Stegostoma tigrinum: one gene and its partners. The protein of the gene in region 2 purifies or fractionates together with the protein of the main gene of each other region. This does not show direct contact. Links are inferred from orthologs where the notes say so. Each region holds a gene or a part of one and is shown on either strand. Other genes may lie near its edges. The genes, in order: unconventional myosin-VI, lrch3 and sugt1.

What was found.
Region 1: the proteins of lrch3 (region 2) and unconventional myosin-VI purify together in Homo sapiens (co-immunoprecipitation; 3 studies listed by BioGRID and IntAct, with this or other methods). This does not show direct contact. The link is inferred for Stegostoma tigrinum from reciprocal best matches to the Homo sapiens genes LRCH3 and MYO6.
Region 3: the proteins of lrch3 (region 2) and sugt1 purify together in Homo sapiens (co-immunoprecipitation; 3 studies listed by BioGRID and IntAct, counting the BioPlex papers as one, with this or other methods). This does not show direct contact. The link is inferred for Stegostoma tigrinum from reciprocal best matches to the Homo sapiens genes LRCH3 and SUGT1.

What each region holds. Positions count from the first base shown.
Region 1 is NC_081362.1:28,016,150-28,026,748, reverse strand, and holds the start of unconventional myosin-VI, read right to left. Parts: upstream 4,879-10,599; 5' UTR 4,751-4,878; intron 1-4,750. UniProt on the Homo sapiens protein: Myosins are actin-based motor molecules with ATPase activity. Unconventional myosins serve in intracellular movements. Myosin 6 is a reverse-direction motor protein that moves towards the minus-end of actin filaments.
Region 2 is NC_081367.1:48,774,457-48,785,009, forward strand, and holds the start of lrch3 (DISP complex protein LRCH3), read right to left. Parts: upstream 4,547-10,553; 5' UTR 4,532-4,546; coding exon 4,267-4,531; intron 1-4,266. UniProt on the Homo sapiens protein: As part of the DISP complex, may regulate the association of septins with actin and thereby regulate the actin cytoskeleton.
Region 3 is NC_081359.1:6,872,244-6,882,903, forward strand, and holds the start of sugt1 (protein SGT1 homolog), read right to left. Parts: upstream 4,070-10,660; 5' UTR 3,984-4,069; coding exon 3,970-3,983; intron 3,874-3,969; exon of another isoform or gene 3,873-3,873; coding exon 3,824-3,872; exon of another isoform or gene 3,813-3,823; intron 1-3,812. UniProt on the Homo sapiens protein: May play a role in ubiquitination and subsequent proteasomal degradation of target proteins.

The DNA of each region.
Region 1 (10,599 bases), on a different chromosome or scaffold from region 2:
GTTCACAAACCAGATTCTGCACTTATGCTTCTAAATCTGGTTTCTAAGATGCTAACAAGTCTGCCACCACTCAACTCATGGCAGGTTTAACAGCTACAAGCAAGCAGAGATGGCTCGCACAAAGAATGGTTCCCAGGACATAAAACCAAGAATTTTTCTTTTCTAAAATATAGAAAACAGAAAGAGTTCTTGCAAAGAGTTGGCAAGAACTGCCAATGCCGGAGTCAGAGATAACACAATGTGGAGCTGGAAGAACACAGGCCAGGCAGCAGAGTAGTAGGAAAGCTGACATTTTGAGTCAGGAACCCTTCTTCAGAAACCTACTTTTGAACCCAGATCAGGCAAATTAAAAGCTACCCAAATCCATCACTATGCTTAATCTTGTTTTAGTTTCTTTTTTGTTCATTTTGCAAAAAAAGGAGAAAAAGTAAAATGTCATGATTAGTGCATACAACACAAAAGCATCATGCAATCACTAGAGTCAGTGCCTGGGACTCCAGGTGCATTGTAAAGGCCAACTCTGATTGTTCAAAAGATAACCTAAAAAATAAAGGAAATATTTCTCAGAGTTATTTTATTTTCCTGAAAGAGAACTCAAAAGATACTCCTCATAACATGCTCCAACACAGAAAACCAATAGAGACAAAATAAATCACTTCATTATATTTTGTCTGTCCACCAAGTATTACTTGATAGCTCAGGGTAACTGCAGCATTTCTACATATAATGTTGCAATTGCAAACTATAATTCCAAGTATAAGTCTATTACACTCTGAATAAGGACAGATATATTATAAAGTTTGAATGTTTCCAAAGTTTTTGCCCTTTTGAAACATGTAAATGTTTATACATTTACATTAAAGTCATGATCACAATACTTAAGATGACAAGGTGCAGAGCTGGATGAACACAGCAGGCCAAGCAGCAGAGGAGCAGGAAAGCTGATGTTTCAGGCCTAGACCCTTCTTCAGAAATGCATTTATTTCATAATATTTATTTTGGGATTGCTATACATTACATGGAAATACTACAGCCAGCACTCCCTGTAGAAGGAAAAATGGACACCACAGTGTGGTGTGTCTATCTCAATCATCTATTTGCAATGAATTTGCCACACCAATGCTTTCTATGGTAAACCAAAACGAGGAGCATCCTCTGAAATTTTGTTGCTGTGGCTACAGTTAAACAAAGAGGAGAGGATTTTTTTTGGTACCAGTGCCCTCCCAAATTAATCAAGCCCCATGTTATACTTGAGGTACAAATCAGCATGAAGGTCTAAGTGATTGAAGCAAGGTGGATGGAGAGCACTACCTTCATTGTTCTTGTTTCAGGTCAGCGATTACAGAATGAGGCTGTATTACAACAGAATCAGTGTTAAATATATTCATCTTTACTCCAGGTATAGTGTGATTAACAGTATGCTAGCCATGGTTCAATTACTGGCATTCTTACTTCTGGGTTTAAACAAAAATTGTAGATTCAAGACTCATTTTACTAGTCAATAGAAAACAGCTTAAAAAAAAGTGTCAAAAAAAAAACCAACTTCAGGAAACAGTCCAGACTGGCATTCAGCACAGGGAGATACGTCTTTCAGTTGAGACTTCAAGCCTAAAATGCACTTTCCCTTCCAGAGTAATGTAAAGGAATCCATGGCATTAATCAAACAGCAGAAGAGTTCTCCCCAGTGACATAGCGAGCATTTATCCCTTATTTATTTAAAATACATTGAGAGAATTTGTGCATAAATTGGATGCAATGATACAACATTAATGCACAAAAGGCAAAAGTGCAAATCTTTTGTGCGCACCATGAATTGTGTGCAGGTTAACTCAATTAATTATTCCAATTAACGGAGAACAAGATTTTGCTACTTTGGGGTGAGAATACAAGTTTTAGCCATGCGTTGAGACTGTGATTTGCACCATCCTCAGATCAGCCATGTTATTGATGTGAACAAATAGACAGAAAAAATATAGAAAATTGGATAATATCACATTACAATGGTCTTTATTAATTATTTTAGACGCAATTCAAATATACACATTAACCTCATGTTACAAAGTCTGCAATACAACACAAGCTTTTAAGAATGAAATATCAGAGTGTCACACTTCAAGTGGATGGATTCAAATTTTTTAGTTCTTCATTTCTTTCATTCTGATGAACAGAACAACAGGTATTTAGATTGGTACTACTAGGACTTAAAAACACTATATATATTTTTTAGAATGGGCAGCAGTGAAATCTCTCACATCATGAACCAATTTAAAATGTATTCTAATCACTTATTAGTAAGCAGGCAATCTTCTTTTTGTGAATTATAGAAAATCATTAGCCTTCAAATCTCCATGACAGCAGCGACCAGACTGCATCATCTATTAAATAACATAACATCAATTCTATTATTTGAACATATTCAAACATTCAACTACTTTATTTATAAGTTGAATCTTACTTGTGTCACCTCGCTAAACCTAAACATTTTCTAATCATGTACACATGACATGACATCTGCAGTCATTCCGTGATATCATTCCTTTCATTTTCCCATTCCAAATCAACGTCTCAATTTATCAACAAATCATCTATTATTTTAATGCATCAGTGCATGCCTCAATGAAACTGGAAGGCTTGTGGAAGAACCTGTGTGTTAAAGTCTTCCAGTTCAAAAAGGCACGCATAAATGAACCGTTGATGTTACCTTCTTTTAACCTTACATCAAATACTTATTTTCAATTGAAAACAGTGCACAGTACATCCTTCTGCAGATTCCACCTCTTATCTTGTGTAAAAGGTTTGCACTGGTTATTTTACAGCTGTTCAGAGACGTGTTCACTAAAGTAGTGAGGTATTTATAAAATATCCTTTGATTTTATATTATAGGCAGCACAATTTAGTTGTTTCAACTAGTACCACTAAACCACCTTTAGAATCCATACACCTTAGTTGAACAAAATAATCACAATTGTGACCATATTCTATTTCAATATTTACATAATATAATTTACACAAAATAATATACTGCTCTGGAAAAGTAACAGCAATTTATCATACTATGATATTTAATCCAAGTCAAACAAAAACTGCTCACAACCAGAGATATGAAAGTTGGTCAATCAGTTCCTGACGCCAGATTATTTAATGTAGATTTAACATTTACTCCATAAGTGATGCACAAATTAGTTATTTACAAAGATAAACAAATCCAATCACATTATTTGCTGCTTCAAACAAAACCTGTTAAAAACAGGTATCAGGGAGGGATTGAGCACGTTAGAATTTCCTCAAACCAGAAAACAAAGCTCCATTTTCCCTTGCAGTTCTGTGTGGTACCTACTCTTCGTAAACCTTCGCCGACTGAGGATAACCCAAAACTAAAACAAGCTAGATATCAGAAACAGGACCCTCGCCACAGGAAACTATATAAATGGTTAATAACGTTAAACTTAAAAACTTTTGGAGAATCCCTCAAAGCACGGACTAAAATAGCATTTCATCAGGAACGATTAATAGCTAGGAGGACAAGAAAACATTCACCAATCACGCAGAATTTTGATAGGTCAACCATATGAGAAAAGACGTTTAAAATGTTGTCGTCTCACACTCCCGGTAGTACAAATTGATTACGATACGCACAGAGAACAGCAATCTCACTAGAAATATCGATGTTGATCAAACAGTATCTTGTTTGATAAAACGGAAGAACTGCGGACGCTGTAAATTGGGGCCCAAATAAAGTTGCTGGAAAAGCTCAGCAAGTCTGGCAACATCTGTGAAGAAAAGTCAGAGTTAATATTTCAGGTCTGATCTCATATTTCTCAGGAAGTAACCGGACCCGAAACTTTAACTCTGATTTGTCTTAACAGATATTGCCAGACCTGAGTTTTTCCAGCAACTTATTTTCGTTCGATATTTTGCGTGAAGCTGTTTTGATAAGGAAGCAGCGTATTTATTGTAAGCGCGAAGGGAGAAAAACAACATTTTCGCTTGGTCCATTAATCTACTGTCTGTTCAACTTAGACGCCACCATTCGGAAATGGGGCTGTGCGGATCAACAGAGATTTAAACAAGGGCAGTACAAGCGAATAAGAAAACAACCAGCTTAAAGGCGAAACTATTCGAAATATCGAAACGATAATACCCAGTCGAAATCGAAAGCGATTTAAATATAAAGACATTCAGGAATGGAAGCAGCTGCTGGTCATTCAACAACCAGAAAACAACCGGGAAACAACCAGACAGGATTCCCACCTAGCCATTTTCCGGGGGAATCTCTAGTTTCCTGCACGAAACAGGATACAGTCCGAAAAGGGCTCCGGGAGAGGTCATAAAAACAAACTCAGCTCACAGCTCTCTTCGGGACTCGAGCAGCCCGAATCCATAAGTAGTTCGGAATCGACATAACTCCCTACCTCCTTCCTTTCACTGAGAGAATGGGCCGGGAACACTCAAACAGGGAAAGGACTCTCTACAAACCCCAAACCCCCACTTTTTCCTCCATCCCGCTCCACCCGGGTATGGAAAAGACTCTTCATCCAAACTAGTTCCAGTTGAGCGGTGGATCCGGTCGTGGCGTCCTTTCCACAACATCTTACCATGGAGACCAGGCCCCTGGTACCCTAAACCCTTCAACCTCACCCACTTTCACTCCTAAAACACCTACCCACAATCACTGCACAGTTTTCCCCATTCGCTGTCAACACGCCCGACCCTCTTACTCATTTAACCTCAGTCGCCCCCCGACTCTTACCGTCAACTGTTTACCAGTGCCGTTGCAGAAAGTCTGTTTCCCCTCGATAGCCACAGGACTCGTCCTGGTGCTCCTCCCCTTTGTTCCCGCTGCGTCTCCAGATCCTGCTCAGTCCTAACGCTCCTCCCCCTGCGCGGCTCCCGGTGCTCCGCCTCTTTCTCTACCCCCGCCCATACCCGCTGTGTGGCTAGATCCTGCCCCCAGCCCTAGTGCTTGCTCCTCCTAGTGTGGATCTTCGTGCTCCATACTCCCCCCGACACACCCACCCACCTGTGCCCGGTGTGGGTGCCGATATTCCTGTTCTCCGTCCCTGTGGTCCTGGTGATCCGATGTTCGTGGCCCTGGGACGATCAACGTCACGGTGATGGCCCTCAGAGACGGAGAGGCCCCCAGTAACACAATGAACACGGTCAGTGAGAACACATGATATGCACGGTCTGTCAGATACTGCAGAGAACAGCGCCTTTCATCGTAAGGGCATCCCAAAGACTTTCACAATTAACTTTTCAAAAATAATCCCGCTCATAGCGAGTTCACTGTGCCTGCCCACTGTCTACAATCCTCTAGTCAGGAATGTGATATTGGATGGGTGCAGCTGCAACATCACTCGAAGCTCAACACTATTCAGGACAAGATAATAAAATGTGAGGCTGGATGAACACAGCAGGCCAAGCAGCATCTCAGGAGCACAAAAGCTGACGTTTCGGGCCCCAAGATGACATTCCACATTAAGCAGAGGTTCACCTGCACATCTGCCAATGTGGTATACTGCATCCACTGTACCCGGTGCGGCTTTCTCTACATTGGGGAAACCAAGCGGAGGCTTGGGGACCGCTTTGCAGAACATCTCCGCTCAGTTCGCAACAAACAACTGCACCTCCCAGTCGCAAACCATTTCCACTCCCCCTCCCATTCTCTAGATGACATGTCCATCATGGGCCTCCTGCACTGCCACAATGATGCCACCCGAAGGTTGCAGGAACAGCAACTCATATTCCGCCTGGGAACCCTGCAGCCATATGGTATCAATGTGGACTTCACCAGTTTCAAAATCTCCCCTTCCCCTACTGCATCCCTAAACCAGCCCAGTTCGTCCCCTCCCCCCACTGCACCACACAACCAGCCCAGCTCTTCCCCCCCACCCACTGCATCCCAAAACCAGTCCAACCTGTCTCTGCCTCCCTAACCGGTTCTTCCTCTCAACCATCCCTTCCTCCCACCCCAAGCCGCACCCCCAGCTACCTACTAACCTCATCCCACCTCCTTGACCTATCCCCTCCCTACCTCCCCACCTATACTCTCTCCACCTATCTTCTTTACTCTCCATCTTCGGTCCGCCTCCCCCTCTCTCCCTATTTATTCCAGTTCCCTCTCCCCATCCCCCTCTCTGATGAAGGGTCTAGGCCCGAAACGTCAGCTTTTGTGCTCCTGAGATGCTGCTTGGCCTGCTGTGTTCATCCAGCCTCACATTTTATTATCTTGGAATTCTCCAGCATCTGCAGTTCCCATTATCTCTGATACTATTCAGGACAAAACAGCTTGCTTGTTCAACACAACATTCACCATCTTAAAAATTCACTTGCTGAACCGTCAACAAACAATGGCTGAACCATCAACAAACAATGGCAGCAGTGAGTACCATCTACGAGATATATCGCAGAACATTAACCAAGTTTCCTTCAATCCATCTTCCGAACAGATAACCTCAGCCACCTAGAAGGAACGGAAAAGCAAATGCCTGGGAACACCAGCACCTGCAAATTTTCCCCTAAGACATGCCGTTCTGACTTGAGATATCTCACCATTCCTTCACTGCTGCTGGCTCAAAATCCAAGAACACCATTCCTAATACCTGCAACAGATAGACTGCAGCCATTTAAACAGGCCGCTGATTAAGTCAAGTAATTAGAGATGGGCACAAAATTCTAGCCTAGCTAGTGGTGTAACATACACTTAGTGCGTAGAAATATTCTTCAAACAACACTGAAATTAGGATCAGATAAGGATGAAAGACATAGAAGCATTTGGGACATTGTGTTCACTTTGCCATTCAATCAGATCATGGCTGATCTGATAATCCTCAACTCTATTTTCCGGCTTCATTACCATGATCTTTGATTTCCTGACTGGTGAAAAATATGCCTGCCTTAGCCTTAAATATGTTTAAAGACCCAGCTTCGACAGCCCTTTGTGGTGTAAAGAACTCCCTGGAGTGATTACCCTCAGAGAAAAAGTTCTCCTCATCTCTAATTTAAATGGCAACCTCTTATCCTGAGATTATGCCCTCTAGCCCTGGATTGTCTCATGAGGGAAACTATCCTTCAAGATCCCATAATCCTATATGTTTCAATAAGGTCTCTTCTTCTAAAGCCCAGTGAGTACAAGTTCGACTTACTTAACCTCTTGTCGTAAAAAAGACCCTCAATACCCAGAATTAACCTAGTGAACCTTCTCTGGACTGTCTCCAATTATTGTATCTCGCGTCTTTAATAAGTGGACCAAAAATGATCACAGTATTCCAGATGTGGCCTGAACAGTGCCTTATATGGTTTTAGAAAGACCTCTCTATTTTTAGAATAAAGAACTGCAAATGCTGGAGACCTGAAACAAAAGTAGGAAGTAATGGAGAACTCTGACAAAGGGTCACTGGATTCAATTCTGATATTCTCTCCACAGATGATGCCAGACCTATTGAGTTTCTCCAGCATTTTCTGTTTTTGTTCTCTATTTTACATGCCATTCCCTTAGAAATAAAGCCAATAGTGAATTTGCATTCTCTTTTACCAACTGAACAAATGAGTTAGCTTTTTGTGATTCATGTCCAAGGACTCCAAATCCGTCTGTTCTGCACGCTCTGCAGTCTTTCCCTATTAAATAAAATTCAGCCCTGTTCTTCCTCCTGCGAAAATGGATAATCTGCAATCATGTTCCATTTCCAAATTTTGGCTCACTCACTTAAATTGTGGGCTCATTGTGTCATCCTCACTACTTGCCTTCTCACCTATTTTATGTCATGTACAAACTTGGCAATAATACATTTACTTCCTTCTTCCAAATCATATACATATAAATAATTGTGGCCTTAGCACTATTCCCTTTGGCACTCCAGTTGTCACAGGTTGCCATCCTGAAAATGCTCCTTTTATCCCAAATCTGTCTTCAATAGTTAACCAATTCACTATCAATACTAACACATTACTCCCATCACAATGAGCTCATCTTATTAAGTAGCCTTATGTGTGATACCTTATTAAATGATAATCTGTTTCATTCATGTTAGTTGATGGATAAATATTTTCCAAGAATTCCAGGAGAGATTTCCTTTGGTTCGTCAAAGTGGTATCATGGGAGTTTTACCCATGATGGCAGTTGGGGCCTTGGTTTAACATCGCAGCAGTTAGGCTACACAGCACTCCTTCAATACAGTATTTGTGTATTGAACAGTATTTTGCACTCAAGTCCGTGGAGTGGAACTTAAACCTTAACCTTCTGATTCAGAAACAACAGAGAGCTACATTGAGCTTCAATTTGTAACACTCAAAATAGTACTATGTATCCTGTATCACTGCCACTAGTGTGATGATACTATGGCTTTAAGAGGTACATTTTGTCCTTTTTGTTTTGAAGACATGTTTTAAGACAGAGGTATCAAGCTGTCTGTTTGAATCCAATAAATTAAACAGCTTGTGAGGCACTTTTTTTAAGTTGGAACAATAAAAGCAGCCTGAATGGCTGGGGTCAAGCTTCCACAGAACCAGGATTTTTAGTTTTAGCTTGTAGCAGTTGCTGGGGTCTTGAAGTTGGGTTTGGAAGCTGCAGTACATCTCTCCCTGCAACTTGGTCTCTCTCTCTCTCTCTTAGGGTTTTGTCTTGATGATTTTCCTGCTGGATTAGAGAATTGCATGTGAGACAATCTATTTTACTGAATTTTCCTTTGCTAAGAGTGTGTTTATGAGATGTTACTATGTTGAAACAGTCACTGTTTCGTAGTTAAATAATCTATTATTCTGTTAAGTTTTCCAGCATAATTACGTTATTTCAATTTTTTTCTTCCTTTGGTAGTATATTAATTACAGTGTATAAATGAAATGTGTTTTGCTTCAAGACTAGAAGTTTGACCAATCGAATTAGATCTGTAACACAATACCTGGTACTTGAAATAAGAAAAAGTTATGGTCTAGGCTATCGTCTTAATATATCTTGAAGGGCTTTAGTCTGATCCATAACACTGGGAATGATGCACCACATGCTCTACCTCTGACAGCAATTCATTAGTAAATGTAGGCAAACCTGAACATCCTCCAGGATTGTGCTAATACATTCTAGATTCATTTTCATTTTAAAGGTACAATGCAAGTAACATTTGCATCACATTGTTGCCAGGTAATGGCCAACTTCAACAAAAAATCTAATCCATCTCTCCATGATCTATAATCTTATTATCACAGTGTCCCTCCCCATCAATATCCTGTAATTACCACTGACCTAAACTCAACTGGACCAATGAATAAATGCTGTGGCCACAAGAACCAGTGGACATTATGCAAAAACAGGTTCATCTCCTGACTCCTCAAAACATTTCTACTATCTGCAAAGAAAAAGGAAAGAATGAGGTAAAATATATTTCACAAGATGAATGACATTGCAACAATATCCAGGAAACACAACACTGTTTAGGGCAAAGCAGTCATCCGTGGCTGGCACATCCATTATTTAAATGTTCACTCAATGTGCACACACACAGCCCCCCACACTCCAATCTCTCTGGGCACTCTGGTTTCAGTGTCATTTACAAGATACACAACAACAACTCACCATGGCACTTCCCACAGAACCAGCCAATCTCATGAGATTTATTATCTGGAAGGAAAGTGACAGCAAAAGCAGTGGAATACAACTACTTACAAGTGTTTTTCTAATCATCCTGATTCAGAAATACTTTGTTATTATTTAATCATTGTCTAGTAAAATTTCTTAAAGTACAACACTTGTACCAGGCCAGGCAGCATCAGAGGAGCAGGAAAGCTGATGTTTTGGGTCTGGACCCTTCTTAAGAAAACACTTATAGCACTGTGTAAGTACCTTCACCTCATGGACTGCAATAATTCAAGAAGGCAGCTTGCCATTTCCATCTCAAAAACAACTAGGAATGAGCAACAAATATTGGTTTTGTTAACAATGCTCACACTGATGAATGTCAACAGAAGTGATGTAATACATCCATTGTATCACCACTGCAAATGTTGTATTACATCTTAAAAGCACTGGGAATGTGAGAACCCTTATGTCGAGCAATGCCTATAATTTCTTTTGTGAGGTGTACCTTTAAGACTAAAATTAATCAAGAGTGTATGCTGAAAGATTATTAATTTGTTAGGATGAGTTTCCAATAAATGTCCATGACCTGTGGTTGCTATGGGGATGAACAGCTAAGAAGCAAACGGTTAAAAGAAGTAAATTGCAGTGGATAATAAAGTGTGAAGCTGGATGAACACAGCAGGCCAAGCAGCATCTCAGGAGCACAAAAGCTGACGTTTCGGGCCTAGACCCTTCATCAGAGAGGGGGATGGGGTGAGGGTTCTGGAATAAATAGGGAGACAGGGGGAGGCGGACCGAAGATGGAGAGAAAAGAAGATAGGTGGAGAGTAGAGTATAGGTGGGGAGGTAGGGAGGGGATAGGTCAGTCTGATCCCCAGTTCTGCATAAGGGTCACTGGACCTGAAATCTTGTTTTTGTTCCTGATTCCCAAAGTCTTTTATTCATATATAAAGAGCAAGAGGGTAACTAGAGAAAGGATTGGCCCACTTAAGGACAAAGAAGGAAAGTTATGCACTGAGTCAGAGAAAATG
Region 2 (10,553 bases):
TACACTCAATGGAAGTGGGTCCTGGGTAGTGTTGCCAAGCAAAAAGACCTTGGAGTGCTGGTTCACAGTTCTGTGAAAGTAGAGTTTCAGGTCAACAGCATTGCAAAGAAAGTGTTTAGTATGCATGTCTTTGTTCATCAGTGCATTGAGAGGTCATGTTGCACCTGTACAGGACATTGGATAGGCCACTTTTGGAATACTGCATGCAGTTCTGGTCTCCCTGTTAGAGGAAGCATGTTGTGAAACTTGAATGGGTTCAGAAAAGATGTACAAGGATGTTGCCTGGATTGGATAGTTCAGCTTTAGGAAGAGGCTGAATAGACTTTCAATGGAGCATCAGTGGCTGAGAGCTGCTCTTATAGAGATTTATAAAATCATGAGTGGTACTGATAGGGTAAATAGAAAAGTTCTTTTCCCTGGGACAGGGGAGCCCAAAACCGGAGGACACAGGTTTAAGGCGAGAGTGGAAAGATTTAAAAGTAATCTAGGGATCAACTTTTTCACGCAGAGGGTGATGCATAAATGGAATGAGCTGCCAGAGGCTGGTAGAATTACAACATTTAAAAGGCATTTGGATATATAAATAGTAAGGGTTTAGAGGAATATGGGCCAAATGCTGGCAAATGGGGCTAGATTTATTTATTATATCTGGTCAGCATAGGCACGTTGGACCAAAGGATCTGTTTCCATGCTATACAGCTCTATGACTCAAGTCCTCTGTAGCTGTATTAAACTGAAGCTCACAGTACAACTCTTGCACAAATTAAGCCCTATTTGAGTCAATGGTGTGACAAGTCAATTAAAGCTGTAATCCTTTACACGAAATGAGGACCTAGATCTTCCGAAAGAAAGACAGTTGCTGCAATAGTTTAGCTGAGAGTTACATGTCTGGACGACGTGGAAATTCCAACAAAACTGCTGAAACTGCTGACAGGCAATTACCGAGCAGCTGAAACCCTCTAAAAAAAGGTCCTAACTCTGTTAAATTGGATGGAGGTTTGGAATGATAATATTTTGAATCTTAAATGAGAAACCATGTTTCTCACATGATACTCATGCTATAAAGAGTATAGAAGCAGAGAGGTGCATGGAGTTCAGAACCAGATCAAATCAAAATCAGAGACCAACATAATTAAATTTTAAACAGGGCACAGAGTACATTTAGTACATGACAAAAATAAGTGAATCAAAACACTCGTCAATGGCTTGTAATGTCAATTTCTGCATGCCTTCTACAGAAGGTAATGAAGCCAGCACATAGGGGGACTGTAGTCATCATGGATTTCAGACCAAAAAAAATGTCGAGAGAAAGTGGAATTCTTTTCATTGCAATATAAATAAAATAGCATTGTTCAAAATTGAGATGTTTATGGTAAATTGGAAAAATGAATTTCTCCAGTCAAGCGACAAATATTATACAAGCACAAAGAATATGGATTTATTTTCTCTATGCAGAGTATTGATTGGAAATGAAATGTCTACCACTAACAGTAATGAATCAAGTGATTATTTTTAATAACTTTTAAAAACAACGTGGACAAATTTGTTGATATGGATTAACAAACTACCAGAGAAAGTGGTAGAAGTGGGTGCAATTGCAACATTTAAAGACATTTGGATAAGTACATGGCTAGGAAACGTTCAGAATGATATGGGCCAGATGCAGGCAAATGGGACGAGCTCAGTTGGGTAACCTGGTCAGCACAGAAGTGTTGGGCCAAAGGGCCTGTTCAGTGCTGCATGACTATGACTCTGACTCCATAACAGAAATGAAGTGGGATTAAGTTGTTAGCTCTTTCGAGCCAGTGGGTATAATTTTCCAAACAGCCACTTATCATTGCAAAAGATTTTCAGATTCTACCTGCAGTTTCAACCACATGGCCCGCTTCAGGTGATTATTACTAACTTCACTTAGTTTATGAGAGCTAATTGTACACCACAGTTGTAATAATATCCAATGACAGAAGTGGTCAGATAGCATCACAATTTCATGCATCCTTGTTTAAAGCCAAATATCAATCACCTTTTCAGAAAATTTCCACCTGGCCCAAAATGCAGTATGAGGTGTCACTCCCTGCTAAAAAATCACTCTATCCTTATCAAGCTTCATTATTCACCTAAACCCTATCAGTCAAGGGTCTTGTCTGTAATTTCATGGTTTTCTCCCTCTTGGTCAACTTACATAGGAGTGACACTGCAATTTTCCAATCCAAGTAATCGTCCCTGAATCAAGAGGTGTTTAGATGTTCACAGTTTCGGCACCTGCAATGTTCGCAACAAATTCCTCTAAAATCCTGAGGTGGAAATCACCTGGCGCTTGGGATACCACTCTGACTTTATTACATTAATTCTCTGATTTAATACAAGGATTTTTTTGGAATTAGTGGGATGCCATCCTTCTCTTCCTTGGCTATAAATAATAATGTCAAATAAGTATGCAACATGTTCCCCCCTTTCTTTGTTTTAATTTAAAAAGAGTCATAATGGCACAGAAGCAAGCCATTTAACTCAGTGTGTCAACGAAAGCTCTTTATTCAGCAACATTTTTCTTCTAATCAACCTGTTAAGAGATGTTATTACACACCTCTGGAGGTGGTGAGGCTTGAACCTTGGCCTCCTGGTACAAGGGTAGGGGCAGTACCACAAGAGGATGCCCTAAGACAGAACATGGTCTCAAGAATTCAATCATCTCATCCTCCAAAAATCGCTGGATTACAGGTGCATGCCACTAATGCAGTCAATCCCATTGACCAATTTCCTTTTAAAATCATTGATCATATATTTTCAGCTCATCCACAAAGCTCTTAACAGTCTTTTTTGTAACATAATTCTAAAAATATTTGCAGTTTTAGTGGCATTTTATGCACATCTTTGACATTTCTATTTTGTAGTTCTTACTGGCTGCTTTGTTACCTTCTGCTGTTCTTTACATTTCTGAGTCAATCAAATCAGTTCTTTTTCTTCTGCATTTGTGCACTTAACCTTTTAGCTTTAGTTTTCTGTTTTGACATCTATGGCATTTTCTAAACAAGTATCATTTATATAAATGATTTGGACGTGAACATAGAAGGTATATTTAATATGTTTGCACATGACACCAAAATTGGAGATGCAGTGGACAGGCAAAGGGTTTAGAGGGATATGAGCCAAATGCTGGCAAATGGAACTAGATTTATCTAGGATATCAGGTCAGCATGGTCAAGTTGGGCCAAAGGGTCTGTTTCTGTGCTGTACATCTCTATAACTCTAAGTCGGCCTCTTCCCTAGACTGTATAAATAACTTGTAATCATGTCGTTTTCAACACTGTCCAATGAGCTTCTATCATTTCATCCAATTATGAATTTACCCAGCTACTGTAGGGCAGTCTCTCTTGTAAAATATAACTAATCAAAGTTGGCATTTTTTACCCGTAGAGTATTTGCCAATGTCATGAAAGCCACCAGAGAAAAGCGGGTAGAATCACGGCATTGCTAACGAGCCTTAAAAATCTGAAGATCCGGTTCAATAAACCAGATACTGACTTAACTGTAATGTTATTATTGATTACTATCATTGTATCATTCCAAACATTAATACTCCTGACAATCGTCTGAAATCCGGAGGTGAGACTGGGCTTATTGGACAGATCGGCTGGATGGGTTAAATGATATTTATGCATGACTGATTCAAGAAAACGTTCAGTTTCGTCCAAGTACACAGGAGGAAGAATTGGAAAAATCATGCAAGGGACGAAACAGAATAGGTGGTTAAAACCGCAGGAGTAGAAATAAGTGCCTAAAATTACACGAACGACGGTTAATGCAACATTTTAAACAAATGAAAAGTAGTATGGATTGTTGGCTCTTCCCTGCCTTCAGCTGGATCGGTGTTTTGACTCTTCATGGTCCGACACAACAATAAATCTACCATGAACGATACAGATGGAATCAATCCAGAATTACGCTTCTGACGTTGTGAAAATTACATTTTGTCGTAACTTAATTTCAAAGTACTCAGGCACGAGCACCAAAAACAGCAAATTACTGCATCACCGGTTAGTGACCAAGGGCGGAGTCAGAGAACCACTGACGAGCGACCCTTGGTGTCGCACGCCTAGGTCTCCACCCGTGCGCGTGTCCCAGAGCTCGGACACACGAGCCACAGCGCTGCTTGTGCACGCGCCGCCCCGTTTAAATTACATTGGTCACCTCCCAAAACATTTCCGTTGGATCTAAGCTGCCATCGCCCTGGCGAAGTAGGCTGCCCGAGTGCGTGCTCTCCCTTACCCGCCTGCGTGGTGTCCGTCAAGTCCTGGTTCGCCGCGCTCCTGGGGAACTCCTTCAGTTTCCTCCCGCTTAAGCTCAACACTCCCGTCGCAGCGGCTTCCTCCAACGCTCTCTCTAGACTCCTGTTCCAAGGCGGCTGGACCGATCCAGAACCATTGTGACCACTACCTCCTCCCCCTGCCTCGCTGAATGCGTTCAATCCGACACCACCGCCTGCAATCCCGAGTTGACACTCCGACATCACCATCGTCGACACCGTCGCCATTACGAATCCTTGGTCAATACTGCGCAGGTGCGAACAGCTGGACAAACCGCGCGTGCGCGCTCAACGGTCAATGTGACCGGTCCGTTTGTTGGGCTGTCGGCGAAGTGCATCTTATCGGAGAGACGTATACAGTGAAAGTAGGAAATGCCCGATGGTGGAGAATCTGAGAATGACAAGGTGTAGAGCTGGATCAACACATTGGGCCAAGCAGCATCCTGCTGCTCTGAGACGTATATAGTGTCTTTTTAAAAATTGCAACTTGCATGATTCGTGCAACGTGATTCACTTTTGTTGAAAAAAACGAGAGCAGGTAGGATATCCATTTCAAGCCTAACGACTCCCACAACTACCTAGAATACACCTGCTCCGACCCACCTTCCTGCAAAAATGCCATCCCGTATTCCCAGTTCCTTTACCTTCACTGCATTTGCTCCCAGGATGAGGCATTACATTCCCGGACATCCCAGATGTCCTCGTTTTTCAAGGACTGCACTGCAACTCCACCGCCGCCCCCCACACTCACCCGCCGCTGATAATGCCCTCGATTGCGTCTCCCACATTTCCTGCAGTTCATCCCTCACACCTCTCCCCGCGATAACAACCAAAGCAGGATTCCCTTCGTCCTCACGTACCACCCCACCAACCTCAAGATCCAACGCATCATCCTCCGACACTTTAGCAATCTGCAATCCGACCCCCCCACCATCAAAGACAATTTTCCCTCCCCACCCTTGTCTGCTTTCCGGAGGAACCACTCTCTCCGTGACTCCCTTGCCCGTTCCACGCTCCCCTCCAGCCCCAGCACACCTGGCACTTTTCCCTGCAACTGCAGGAAGTGCTACACCTGCCCCCACACCTGCTCACTCACCGCCATCCCAGGCCCCAAGAAGATTCCACATCAAGCAGATGTTCACCTGCACACCTGCTAATGTGGTATACTGCATCCGCTGTACCTGTTGTGGTCTCCTCTACATCAGGGAAACCAAGTAGAGGCTTGGGGACCGCTTTGCAGAACACTTATGCTCAGTTCCAAATAAACAACTGCACCTCCCATTTCAACTCCTCCTCCCATTCCTCAGACGACATGTCCATCCTGGGCCTCCTGCAGTGCCACAATGATGCCACCTGAAGGTTGCAGGAACAGCAACTCATATTCCACTTTGATACCACTGGGCTGCAGGGTTCCCATGTGGATTTTACAATCTTCAAAATTTCCCCTCCCCCCACTGCATCCCAAAACCAGCCCAGCTCATCCCTGCCTCCCTAACCATCTTCTCACCTACCCCCTCCTCCCACCTCAAGCCGCACCCCCATTTCCGACCTACTAACCTCATCCCACTCCCTTGACCTGTCTGTCCTCCCTGGACTGATCTCTCCCCTCCGTACCTCCCTACCGACACTCACCTTTACTGGCCCCATCCCCGCCTCTTTGGCCTGTATGTCTCCTCTCCATCTATCGTCTCCTCTATCCATCTTCGATCCGCCTCACCCTCTATCCTTATTTATTTCAGAACCCCCTTCCCCTCCCCCATTTCTGATGAAGGGTCTAGGCCCGAAACATCAGCGTTCCTGCTCCTAAGATGCTGCTTGGCATGCTCTGTTCATCCTGCTCTACACCTTGTTGTTCCAGACTAGCAAACATTGTCTAAACAGAATACCTACAAAATTCAGTCCAGAAACAATCAGATGTTTTCCTTTAAGTGAGTTCAAATAGCCAAGCCCAGAAATTTTGTAGCATCATTTTTCGGGGTTTCCAAGAAATGCCTTGTGTTAAAAAATTTTCATGGGTCTTTTCATTGACCTTACAAAAAACAATTTCGGGTATCTCAAAGATCCTTCAAAATCAAATGCATAATAATCATGAATTTTTTTAGATTAGATTCTCTACAGTGTGGAAACAGGCCCTTCGGCCCAACAAGTCCACACCGCCCCTTGAAGCATCCAACCCAGACCCATCCCCCTATAACCCACACACTCATGAACACCACGGGCAATTTAGCATGGTCAATCCACCTAACCTGCACATCTTTGGACTGTGGGAGAAAACCGGAGGACCTGGAGGAAGCCCATGCAGAAACGGGGAGAATGTGTAAACTCCACACAGACAGTTATCCAAGGCTGGAATCGAACCTGGGTCCCTGGTGCTGTGAGGCTGCAGTGCTAACCACTGAGCCACCCTGCCGTCCCAACCATTTTCATAACACAGGCTGAGAGACTGTCCTATATTTTGTAGACTACAGTACGATGTAGGAAAATATGAGAATATCCAGTTTGGTTTGAAGAATAGAAAAGTAGAATATTGGGATTGTGGACTTGCTCACCAAGCTGTTTGATTACAGATGTTTCAACACCCTGCTAAGTAATATCATCAGTGCACCTCTGATGAAGTGTTGGTGCTTTGTCCCGCTTGTTATTTATATGCCTTTATATAACAAGTGGGACAGAACACCAGTGCTTCACTGGAGGTGCACTGATGATGTTACCTAGCAGGGTAATGAAATATCTGCAATCAAACACACCAGCTCGGTGAGCAAGTCTACAATCTCATCCACAACCTGAGCTACAATTCTTCTCAAACTTTCAATTTGAATAATATTTAAGTGGAGAGAGATACAGAACTTTATGGTTGAGGATTTGGGTATTTTTGTATGTGCAATACAAAAAAAAGTATGTAGACACAAATGAATTGGCAAGACCGATGCAACTTTTTTTGTCAGTTATCCCTTGAATGAAGGATGACATCTACTCAGGAAAGCAAGTTTCTGCCTTGGGTCTTTGTGTGACTGAAGAGGTTGCTTCTTGACCTACAGACCTTTGGATACAAGGGACAGGAAATCCCACATGGGAGAGGAATCTGGAGTACACAATTTACTTCCTTTCTTCTGCTTCTCTGCAACAACTCTGCTTCATTATTAAAATATTTGAACTCATAAAGAGCCATTACTGTCAATGTTGCCATGCTTTAAGAAGAGCTTCAGAGTGTTTTTGTAGAGTTTTCACTCTCCCCATTGGAATGCTGGCCATTTGAATTTTAGGAGAAAATGACTTCAGAAGAGAGACACTTGCAGCCATTTGGTCAGTGTCTAGTCATCATAGTTGATTTTACCTGAATGTTTGTCAAGCTGGCCTCATGAGGACACCAGCTTTTGTTCAATGATCCTCCGAGTGAATCCAGAGAGTGCGGCACAGGCACTGCTGATGAAATTTGTCTTGTGTTATTATGTATCACTGATACATGGCATCAGTCTCACTGCAGTACAGGAGTGTGATAATGACATTGCTTTTAATAAGTAGTGAATATCTTTTGTTGTCAAATACACATTGTTGTAATTTGTTGAAGGCTGAAATGGTAGAGTTTGGATAGCAGGGAGGATTTCATCAAGGTCAGAGTAGAACGTCTCTTTTCATACATTGATCTGAATCAAGGGTTTGAGATATTCAATTCATGGCTATGGTACATCATTTTATGGATGAACTGGAAGTGTTGTGTAACGTGCCTTTCATTTGTACAATTGGATAGTTGTGGTAGTTTATCCAAGTGTTGCAACTGTGAAAACCAACTCCATGGATATCAGAGTCACTGTCAGTTCCGCTTTCAGAGTAGACAGTATACAACCTGCTTCTTCTTTCAGCTGTCCCTGACCATCAAAGCAGCGGTGTCAATTTGGAGTCTTGATGGTACATGTGATATGATTGCAGTTCTTCTTATAGTCACTCCTAAGATTAATCGCAAATGATATAAGATTCCAAGTTGTAAAATTTTAGTTTTAATTTTCTTGATCACAAAGTTGGTGATCCTGCATAGTGGAGTTCCCCAGCCAGGAGAAAGTGGGACGGTCTATTCTTGTGGCACTGTTTCTATTCCCTTCTGTATTTGGGGAGAACAGAGGGTATCCAGAAGAGGACTGCTTAGTCACAACGATGTCCAACTTGTGTGCAGATTCTTGACTAAAGACTCCCAAATTCACAGTCCTATCTGGGACTTGGCAAATGGATCCTTATAGAAGCCTGTGCAGTCCACATGATCTTGATGGGTTCATGGTCAGATTGCAATGATGTACCACAGCAATCATGACCTCTTGGCCACTGCAGCCTTCACAGCCAGTGATATGTAGTCTTCCTTCACCTGCTTTGCATTGAGGACTTTCTGGCATCTCGCCTTTATCTCTCACCAAAATCAGTAACCTTACCCAGAGCAAGAAGCATGACTCAAACATCAATGGAGCACACAGGCCTCACCACCATGTCAAAATGGAGATCTGTGGAGGAGGTTGCCTTTCTTGCAAGGAGAAATGGAATGCAGGGCATTGCTGAGATCATATTTAGTATACTATGGACGGTTCATGCCTCCTTATTTGAGGACGAATATACTTTCATTGATGTCCTTACATTAATCCGAGGAAAATTCATGGGTTTGAGGCCTAGTTTAACAAAGCAGCACCATGATTGCACAAAATTAGTCTCTACCAGGGGAAATATGGTTGGTTAATATAGACCACTTCACTAAATAATTACTGATGAAGAAGATATTTCATCCACCTTAATTTATTCAGCAAGATGTACCATACAGTCACCTATTTAAGCATTTAATTGTTTAAATCAGCCTGTCTTAGTTCAGGGTCTAGCTTAAAATCCAATAAAGTCCAGTGGTTTTTTTTTTAATGAAGTAGCTCTTCCTGTTGTTAATTCTTTAGTTCCCCACTGGTTTGTGAAATATAAGTACTTAATGTGTGGTCAGACAGGGTACTATACAACTTCCTATATTTTGGTTTGATGACTCAGTGTAGTATTGGCTATATTATCTGCTACTCCACATTGTTGAGCCTGTAAAATCTCCGAAGTCCTTCATTTATTTCAGCACTATCCAGAGAATATGTGTCTTGACTTTCTTTCTTTCTTTCTTTCTTGAGTGCAATAATTTGCACTTCTCTACGTTGAATAGGTTGGTCAAGGGAGAGAAAGTTCTGCTGGTGGTAAACTCTAAAACTATCAGTCAGAAAATAGCAAAATTGATTAAATCCAACAGGGAACGAAGAGCAGAAGGCCATTTGGTCCTTGCAAAAATTCAGATAAATTTCTTTCCTCATTGATTAGAATGTGGAACTCATCATGGGAAGGCAAAGCTGCAATAATAAAAAAAGAACATGTGTATGAGAGAAAAGGGAATAGAAAATTATACTGCAAAACCCATTTGAGGTAGGAGGCGATTCAGACAGTCGAGTTATGCTGAATTACTTGTTGGGGTGATTATATTCCTATTTAATTCTGTACAAGGCAAACATCAACTACAAATGAATAAAGCTCACCAATATAATAGTGTGAAGCTGGATGAACACAGCAGGCCAAGCAGCATCTCAGGAGCGCAAAAGCTGGCGTTTCGGGCCTAGACCCTTCATCAGAGAGGGGGATGGGGTGAGGGTTCTGGGATAAATAGGGAGAGAGGGGGAGGCGGACCGAAGATGGAGAGAAAAGAAGATAGGTGGGGAGGAGAGTATAGGTGGGGAGGTAGGGAGGGGATAGGTCAGTCCAGGGAAGACGGACAGGTCAAGGAGGTGGGATGAGGTTAGTAGGTAGGAGATGGAGGTGCGGCTTGGGATGGGAGGAAGGGATGGGTGAGAGGAAGAACAGGTTAGGGAGGCGGAGACAGGCTGGGCTGGTTTTGGGATGCAGTGGGGGGAGGGGAAGAGCTGGGCTGGTTGTGTGGTGCAGTGAGGGGAGGGGACGAACTGGGCTGGTTTTGGGATGCGGTGGGGTAAGGGGAGAACCCTGCAGCCCAATGGTATCAATGTGGACTTCACCAGCTTCAAAATCTCCCTTATAGGACCGATAGGATAATTGTATGCAGCTAAAGCCTCAAGCCTACACTCTACATACAAATTCTGCCCTTGCCACAAATGAAGAGTTGTAATCAGTATCAGCAATTGCAATCTATCCAACCAGTGCAGTATCTCATCTTATTCCTCAACTGTTGTAGTTTTAGCATTCTTGATCACACCACCTCCTCTATCTCTCCATTTTTGCC
Region 3 (10,660 bases), on a different chromosome or scaffold from region 2:
AAATTGAGTTTCTACAGCATTTTTTGCTCTTATTTCAGACTTTCAGCACCTGCAAGATGTGTTTTTGTATTAATCCTTAAAGTAACATTACTTCTTTTTTGAGGAACCTCTAACTTAATTTTTACCTTGCTCTTCCATATTGTTCGATTCCTACTTCTGTATTCATATTCGATCAGATAGCTAACAAATCCTAGAGCCACAATGCCTTCTTCAGTAATTACCTCCAAATTCACATTATTTTTCACCGATTCCAATTTAATTTGCCAGACAAGATATCCAGAACTTCGAACTGTCATACTTGCCACACGCCCAGACCTGTTTTACTTCCATGTATTGTTGCATGTAATCATTCACTCATCCCATTTCAAAAGGTAAAAAGGGGGCATTAATAATTACAGCCTTAAAATTGGATAAATCCCCAGTCCAAACAAGATGTATCCTAGGGGCAACAGAAGATATTGCAAAACTGCCAATATTTTCAAATTTTCTGTGGCTGCAGAAGTGGCAGAGGGCTGGAAGACCGACAGCATGGTGCCATTAATTCAAGGTTAAGTATAAACAGGTTACTGTAGACGAGCGCGTCTATCAGTGGAGTGAAAACTTTTAGAAAACATTGAGGTCGTCTCAACACGGACCGGATTAATCAAATCAGAAAGTCAGGATGACTGTCAGGAGAACACATCAAACAAACTTGATTGAATTTTGAGACTGCTTAGGTGTGTGGGAGGGTTGAATAGCAATTCAAGAAAACAGCCACCTTCTCCCAGATAATTAAGAGTGACAAGACTGTAGATGCTAACACAGCCTGCAACACCCACACCCCATGAATGAATAAAAGAAAACCTTCCCAAAAGTTGAAAACTTTATGAACGGCAAAGTAAATAAAGAAAACAAAAGAACCGGGAGTAAGTCATCTGGCCCTTCAAGCTTGCTCCGTCATTCAATAAGTTCATGGCTGTTCCACTTATCTACCCTCTCAACACAATGCTTAATTCCTTTACTATTCAAAAAAATTATCTACCTCTGTTTTAAAAATATTCAATGAGGAAGCCTCAACTATTTCACTGGGCAGGGAATTCCAGAGATTCACGACCCTTTAGGTGAAGAACTTCCTCCTCAATTTAGTACTAAATCTTCTCCCCCTAATTTTGAGGATATGCGCTCTTGTTCTAGTTTCTCCCACCTGTGGAAACAACCTCCCTGATTCTATCTTATCTATTCCCTTCATAAATTTTATACGTTTCTATAAGATCCCCAGTTATACTTCTAAATCCCAAAAAATATAATGGCAGTATATTCAGCCTCTCCTCATAAGCCAACCCCTTCATCTCTGAAAACAACCTACTGAATCTCCTCAGCACCCTAACCACTGCGAGTACATCTTTTCTCAAGTAAGGAGACCAAAACTGCACACAGTACTCCAGGTGTGGCCTCACCAACAGCCGATACAGCTGCAGCATAACCTCCCTCCTTTAAACTCAATGCCCCCAACAATGAAGAACAAAATTATATTTCCCTTCTTAACTACCTGCTTTACTCTTTTTTGTTTTATAAATTTATAGAAACTTTTGCTATCTGTCTTTATATGCTGAGAGAGATTTCTGAGACTAAACTATCTTACTTTTCTTTATAGCCTTTTGTGGCTTTCTGTTGAACTTCAAAGTTTTCCCAGTCTTCTAGTTGCGCACTGGTCTTTACCCCTTTGTACGCCTCGTCTTTCATTCTGATAGCCTCCCTTGTTTCCTCAGACATCCATGACTGACTACCACTTTTCCTACAGTTTTTCCCATTTCCTCGGCATATACTGTTGCTAAGTACTTTGAAAAATTGCATGCAAAGTCCTCCATTGCTGCTACTGTCCCACCACAGAGCCTTTACTTCCAATCTACTTGAGCCAACTCCTCCCTCATCCTATTGTAGTCTCCTACATTTAAGGACAAGACTTTGGCACTGAATTTTATGTTCTCACTTTCCATCTGTACTCTAAATTCAACCATACTGTGATTGCTTCTTCCAAGAGGATCACTAAGATGAGATCATTAATTATCCCTGTCTCATTACACAGGACCAGACTGAGGACAGCTCACTCCCACGTCGGTTCCATTTCATATTGCTCAAGAAAGCTATCGTGAATATATTCAATGAACTCCTTCTCAATTGCTGCCTTGACCAACTCGGTTCGACCAATCAAGATGTACATCAAAACCTGCCGCGATAATTACTGTACCATTTTTACAGGCATTAGTTATTTTGTTTATTGCCCATCCTAATGTGATGTTATTATCTGGTGGCTTACAGACTACACCTATCAGTGACTTTTTCTTACAATTTCTAATTTACAATATCCTTTCATTGTCCTGTGGATTCCATTGTAGAAGTACAGTGAAAACCTTCACAATGTCTGTCTGATGACGACATCTTAGGCGCAAGTACCTGGATGCAATTCTTGGATATAGCAGAGGATTAAAACTAGTTGCATTACTTAAAGTTAAAAATAAGAAAATATTAAAAAGGTTAACATTGTAGTAAGGTAGGTAATTTTGAACAGACATTTCAGCACAAAGCACATGGTCCAACCATGTGTCACACCCCAGTCCAACAGCAATGCCCATTGCACTCCAAACCGGCACTCAGCTGCTCCGAGGTTAAGTGGTAGGATTACCCCCTTGCACTTGCCTCTGTCCATAACTTGTTGCCCATGTGCTGCTGCAAGGCTGCTGGACTCAGCCTTATTCTCCACAAAACCTAAATCTCTCACTACTGCCCTGATGTCACCCTTAAAAATCAGAGTAACACCACCTCCCTTATGTTCCTGTCTGTCCTTCCGAAAAGTCAGATGCCCCTGGATATTTAATTTCCAGTTGTGACCATCCTGCAACCACGTCTCAATAATGTCTACTAAATCATACTCATTTTCAATATTTTGACCAATAAATCATCTACCTTGTTTTGAACAGTACATTTACATAAAGTACCTTTATGTTGGTTTTTATACCCCCTTTGTGAATTCTAACATCACCACTAATATCTCCTGAGTTTTCCTTCCTCTTAACTTCCTTCAGTCCTCAATGTAGTTAAACCCTCCCACATAAAATTTTAACCTGCTGTTTCCTTTTCTATTTACCATTATACATCCTGCAATTTCCCCTTACCATCCCATTTCACTAGCTTAAAGCCCCAATGACCACCCCGTCAATGATTCCCGACCGGTTCGAGTGGAGATCATCCCAGAAGTACAGGTCCCTCCTATTCCAAAGCCTATGCCAATGCTCCATGAAATGGAGTCCCTCTTTCCCACACCACTCCTTTAGCAACACATTTACTTCCCTAATGTTAATTTATCACGTATATTCATGATACGCAGCCAGCGAGATATTACAACAGACGACTAAAAACTTGTCGATGGAGCACCCTTTAAAATTACTATTCAGGAACGCCTTTCCTAACAGTATTGTGGGTGCATCCACACCACATGGACTGCAGCAGTCCAAAGAGTCCAAGCTTCCAAACAGAAATAGGTAACAAATACCGGCCTTGCCAATTACTCCCACGCACCCACCAGCAGAAAAACGAAATCGGGGACCTGTGGGAAGGAACGGCACAGGCACGATGGGCCGAATGGCTGCAAGTATAACATTTGTGGCACTCTGGTCCAGTTTCACGGCATGAACCATGCTGCACCCGAGTTCGGCCCCACCTCCACATGCTCAAGGACCGGGAGAAACAGGTGCCTTTCCGAACACTTTACTCCCCCCAACACTGGAAACTTAACAGGCCGAAGCGGTGGGTTTGAGAAACAAAAAAAAACAAACCTTTCACTCACCTCCAGTGCTTTCTCCGGACACTCCGCGATGAACTGGTCTGTAATGACTCTGACAAAACATCATAAAACAAACAGATTTTTTTTAAAAAAAGGAGCGTACATGAGCCGAAAGCACACTTGAACAGCGAACACAGCACACAACTCACCGCTCTGTCGCCATGTCGTCGTCGTCGTCGCCGCCGCCGCTTTAGAAACTTCTGGAACAAGGAGCCGGGAGGGAGCGCCACCGCCAAAGAGTCAGCGTCAGAGTGCAAGAGGAAACCGCCGCGCCTGCGCACGCGGCGATTGACGCCATCTTTGTAAAGGAGGGTTTGACGTCGAAGGACCACCGCCGTTGTCTGACGCTGTACCTGAGGTTTACTCCTGAGTTTCAGGGCTGCTGAATCATCTGGCGAAGGGAGTGCAGTGGGGCGAATAAACTAAAAACAAAGACAAAAAAATGGTTAAAGAGAGAGCTCAGAAGAGCCAGGAGGAGACATGAGAAGTTGTTGGTGGATAGGATCAAGGTAAACCCTAAGGCTTTCTATAGGTATTTAAGGAATAAAAGAATGACAAAAGAAGATTAGGCCCAATCAAGGATAGTAGTGGTAAGTTGTGTGTGGAGTCAGATGAGATAGGGGAAGTGCTAAATGAATATTTTTCGACAGTATTCACTCTAGAAAACGACAATGTTGTCGAGGAGAATACTGAGATACGGACTACTAGACTAGGTGGGATTGAGGTTCACAAGGAAGAGGTATTAGAAATCCTACAGAGGGTGAAGATAGATAAGCCCCCTGGGCCGGATGGGATTTATCCTAGGATCCTCTGGGAAGCCAGGGAGGAGATTACCAAGCCTTTGGCATTGATCTTTAACTCGTCATTGTCTACAGGAATAGTGCCAGATGACTGGAGGATAGCAAATGTGGTTCCCCTGTTCAAGAAGGGGAGTAGAGGCAACCCTGGTAATTATAGACCAGTGAGCCTTACCTCAGTTGTTGGTAAAGTGTTGGAAAAGGTTATAAGAGATAGGATTTATAATCATCGAGAAAAGAATAAATTGATTAGGGATAGTCAGCACGGTTTTGTGAAGGGAAGGTCGTACCTCACAAACCTTATTGAGTTCTTTGAGAAGGTGACCAAGCAGGTAGATGAGAGTAAACCGGTTGATGTGGTGTATATGGATTTCAGCAAGGCGTTCGATAAGGTTCCCCACAATAGGCTATTGTACAAAATGCGGAGGAATGGAATTGTGGAAGATATAGCAGTTTGGATCGGAACTTGGCTTGCTGAAAGAAGACAGAGGGCGGTAGTTGATGGAAAATGTTCATCCTGGACACTAGTTACTGGTGGTGTACCGCAAGGGTTGGTGTTGGGTCCACTGCTGTTTGTCATTTATATAAATGACCTGGATGAGGGCATGGAAGGATGGGTTAGTAAATTTGCAGACGACACTAAGGTCGGTGGAGTTGTGGATAGTGGCGAAGGATGCTGTAGGTTGCAGAGAGACATAGATAAGCTACAGAGCTGGGCTGAGAGGTGGCAAATGGAGTTTAATACAGACAAGTGTGGTGTGATGCACTTTGGTAGGAGTAACCAGAAGGCAAAGTACTGGGCTAATGGTAAGATTCTTAGCAGTGTAGATGAGCAGAGAGATCTCCATGTCCATGTACACAGATCCTTGAAAGTTGCCACCCAGGTTGACAGGGCTGTTAAGAAGGCATACAGTGTTTTAGCTTTTATTAATAGAGGAATCGAGTTCCGGAACCAAGAGGTTATGGTGAAACTGTACAAAACTCTGGTGCGGCCGCACTTGGAATATTGTGTACAGTTCTGGTCACCACATTATAAGAAGGATGTGGAAGCTTTGGAGAGGGTGCAGAGGAGATTGACTAGGATGTTGCCTGGTATGGAGGGAAGGTCTTACGAGGAAAGGCTGAGGGATTTGAGGCTGTTTTCATTAGAGAGAAGAAGGTTGAGAGGTGACTTAATTGAAACATATAAAATAATCAGAGGATTAGATAGGGTGGATAGGGAGAACCTTTTTCCTAGGATGGTGACGGCGAGCACGAGGGGGCATAGTTTTAAATTGAGGGGTGAAAGATATAGGACAGATGTCAGAGGTAGTTTCTTTACTCAGAGAGTAGTAAGGGAATGGAACGCTTTGCCTGCAACGGTAGTAGATTCGCCAACTTTAGGTACATTTAAGTCGTCATTGGATAAGCATATGGATGTACGTGGAATAGTGTAGGTTAGATGGGCTTCAGATCGGTATGACAGGTCGGCACAACATCGAGGGCCGAAGGGCCTGTACTGCGCTGTAATGTTCTATGTTCTATTGCAGATGAGACCAAAATTGGAAGCGTAGCACAACGAAGAGGTAACCTCAGGGGTACATTAGGATCTTGATCAGGTGGGCCAATGGGCCCAAGAGATGGAGTTTAATTGAGATAAATGTGAGGTGCTGCATTTTGGATAGACAAATCAGGACAGGACTTATACACTTAATGGTAAGGTCCTGGGGAGTGTTTCTGAACAATGAGACCTTGGAGTGCAGGATCATAGTTCCTTGAAAGTAAGAGTCGCAGGTCAACAGGACAATGAAGAAGGTACAAAAACAAAGTTGCTGGAAAAGCTCAGCAGGTCTGGCAGCATCTGTGAAGGAGAAAACAGAGTTAACATTTCGGGTCTGATGACCCTTCCTCAGAACTTAGGAAGTGACTTTGTAGAGCTTCCTCAGTTCTGAAGAAGGGTCACCGGATCCAAAATATTAACTCTGTTTTCTGCTTCACAGGTGCTGCCAGACCTGCAGAGCTTTTCCAGCAACTTTGTTTTTGTTCCTGATTCACAGTAGCAGTAGTTCTTTTGATTTTCAGTGAAGAAGGTATTTGGTATGCTTGCCTTCATTGGTTAGTGCATTGAGTATAAGAGATCGGGGGTGGTCATGTGACAGCTAAACATGACATTGGTTAGACCACGTTTGGAATACTGTGTTCAGTTCTGGTCACACTGCGATAGGAAGGATGTTGTAAAACTTGAAGGGGTTCATGAACAGATTTACGAGGATTTTGCCAGGGTTGGAGGGTTTGAGCTGTAGTGAGAGGCTGAATAGCCTAGGGCTATTTTCCTGGAGTGTCAGAGGCTGAGGGTGACTTTATAGAGGTTTATAAAATCATGAAGTACATGAATAGGGTGAATAGCCATGGTGTTTTTCCGAGGTTAGGGGAGTCCAAAACTAGAGGACATAGGTTTAAGGCAAGAGGGTAAAGAGGGGCAGTTTTTTACACAAAGAGTGGTGCATGTGTGGAATGAGCTGCCAGAGGCTGGTACAATTACAATATTTAAAAGGCATCTGGATGGATGCATGAATAAATTTAGAGTTAGATTTAGATTTTATTGCGACATGTTACTCAAGCACAGGAGTATAGTGAAGTATAATATCACCACACAAGGCCCCGCCTTAGGTATCATGGTGCCTGGGTACAAAAAACTTAGATACAAAGTAGTAAGAAAAGCATTTAAAAAGTTAAGCATTACTTCACAGAATAAATAGAAAAATACAGAAATAAGGTAGTAGTTAACATTAAAGTCTTTCCTAATTTAAACTAGGAAAATAAAGGAATAAGATAACAGTCAGTAGAAGGAGTTTAGAAGGGTATGGGCCAAGAGCTGGCAAATGGGACTAGATCAGTTTAAGTTATCTAGTCAGTGCAGATGAATTGGACCAAAGGATCTGTTTCCGTGCTGTATTACTCTATCGGGATTAGCACATTTTCTTCTGAAAGAAGGGCCACCAAATGCCCTGTGTAGTTCATTTAGAGGGATATGAACTAAGAACAGGCAGATGGAGTTAGATTAGGAAGCAGAGTTAACATTTCCTTTTATAAGGGAGACACTGGATCTGAAAGGTTAACTCTGCTTTCTCTCCACAGCTGCCTCCAGACCTTCTGAGTTTCTCCAAAACTTTCTGTTTTTGGCCCAAGTAAACTGTTATTGTGCCATCAATTGACATAGAATTGCCTGGTTCACAGGATGGGGCAAACTCTTCCATGCTGACCATGGCGCCCGTTCAGCTAGTTCCAATTGCCTGCATTTGGTCCATATCCCTCTAAACCCTTCCCATCCACGTACCTATCCAAATGTTTTTTTTCATGTTGCTCTTGGACCTGCCTTAACCATGTTCTCTGGCAGCCCATTCCATATATGCACCATTCTCTGTGTGAATAGGTTGCCCCTCAGATCCTGCTTAAATCTTTACCCTCTCACCTTAAATCTATGCCCTCTAGTTTTTAATTTTTCATTCCTGGCAAAAAGAATAAATGCATTCATCTTATCTGTGCTCATCATGATTTTAAGCACCTAAATGTGGTCACCCCTCACTCTCCTACATTCCAAGGAATAAAGTCCTATCTTGGCCAACCTCTCCCTTTAACTCAGACCTACCAGTCCTGGGAACATCCTTGTAAATCTTCTTTTGAGCACTTTGCAGCTTAACTATGTATTTCGTGTAACAGGGTCTACACAATACTCCAAGTGTGGCCTCACCCAACAACTTATACAATTGTACCATAATGTCCCAATTCCTATACTCAATGCCTTGACCGATGGAGGCCAGCATGCCAAATGCCTTCTTCACCACCCTGTCCACTTGTAATACTGCTTTCAACAAACTCTGTATTTGTACACCCAAGTCCCTTTGTTCCACAATACACCTCAGGACCTTATCATTTACTGTATAAGTCCTACCTTAGTTTGACTTTCCAAAGTGCAACACCTCACACTTAGCAGTATTGAATTGCATTTGCCGATCTTCAGCCCACTTCCTCATCTGATCAACATTCGTCTGTAATTTTTGATAACCTTCTTCGCTATCAATGATATCTCCTAATTTTGCAAACTTACCAATCCTGCCTTGTACATTCACATCCAGATCATTTATGTAAATAAGAAATAACAAAGGTCCAAGCACCAACCCCTGTGGTACACCACTAGCCACAGGCCTCCAGACTGAGAAATAACCATCAACCATCATCCTCTGCTTCCTACCATCGAGCCAATTTTGAATATAATTAGCTACCTATCATTGGATCCCATGCAACCTAACTTCCATGACCAGCCTGCCGTGCAGGACCTTGTTGACGGCCTAAGTAAAGTCCATATCGACAATACCCACTGCCCTACCGTCATCCAACCTCATGGTTACCTGTACAAAAAGTCTGAAAGATTTGTCAGATGTGACTTCCCGCACACAAATCCACGTGACTATGTCTTATGAGACTTGACTATCCAAATGTTGGTTGGTCCTGTCCCTCAGTATCTTCTCCAATAAGTTGTCTACCACTGATTTCAGGCTCACTGGCCTGTAGCTCCTTGGCTTGTCTTTGCTACCTTTCTTAAGCAGGAGAATAACATTAGCCACCCTCCAGTCTTCTAGGACTTCACCAGTGGCTAATGATGAAGCAAAAACCTCTGTAAGGGCCTCTGCAAATTCTTCCCTAGCCTTCCACAAAATCCAGGGATAGATTTAATCAGGCCCAAGGGATTTATCCATTTAATGTGTGTTAGGGCTGCAAGTGCCCCCTGGATGGTAATATGTATGTGCTCTGAAACATCCCCACTCGTTTCCCTTATTTCCTTAGCATCCATGATCCTTTCCTTAGTAAACACTGAGGAGAAATGTTCATTAAAAATCTTCCCCATCTCCTGTGGCTACATGCGTAGTCAGTCATGCTGAACTTTAAGGGTACCTGTTCTTTCCCGGGCCACCCTTTTACTCTTATTACAGCTTTAGAACCTTGTGGCATTATCTTGAACCTCATATGGCCAGATCCGTCTCGTATCCTCTTTTTGTTCATCTCTTAAGTGTGCTCCTACACTTTTTATAGTAATCTTGGAAGTCACTTGAGCCTTATCGCTTAAACCAAATGTGTGCCTTCTTCTTTTTCCCGAACAGAACCTCAATATCCCTTGTCAGCCAGGGATCCCTAAACCTACCAGCTTTTCCCTTCATCCTAACAGGGACATACTGTCCCTGGACTCTTGATATCACACTTGTAAAAGCCTCCCACTTGCTGGTTATTCCTTTACCTTCAAACAGATTCACCCAGTCGACCTCTGCTAGATCCTGCCTAATGGCCCCAAAATTAGCACTGCTCCAGTTTAGCATCTTAACCTGTGGGCTTGTCTTATCTTTTTCCATAACTATGTTAAAACTAAGAGAGTTATGGTCACATATTGGAAGACTGCGAATGTACCTATTCAGCTACAGGAAGAGTGCACAATTTCCATCTGATCATGAAGACAAAAAAAAAACAGTGGCACGACTCTGGGGAGGAAAGGGACATAGGATGAGCTGAAAAGCTCTTATAGAGAGCCAGCACAGACATGACAAACTGAGTGGCCTGTTATATAGTAACATGTGCACAATCTGACATGCAGGAGGAATGGGTGGTCATTTCTGGAATATCTAGACATGCCAGAATGATATTGGATCAGGAGGTAGTTGGTGCTTTGTAAAAAAGGTCATAAAAGATCTGTCACAAGTTTGGACTACAGAACGTTAAATTCTGTTCCCTGTGTGACTTTGTGACACAGGTTGATCATGTGTGTTGATGTGGTATCAGCTTGCTCCTGTGAAACATCTTTCAATGCTTTCCAGTTTTAAAAGTGATATAGAAATGCCAGTTCTGCACTAAGTAATGACCAAGACTTTTAATTGTAATAGTTCTGGGTTTTTTAATACAACTTGATCACAATTACCTTTCAGTAATCTGTACAGAGTCAACTTATTCCATGCAGTTTAGGAATGATCACCACCAGTGAACGCCAAGTGCTTTAATTAGGTTCAATGAAGTGGTT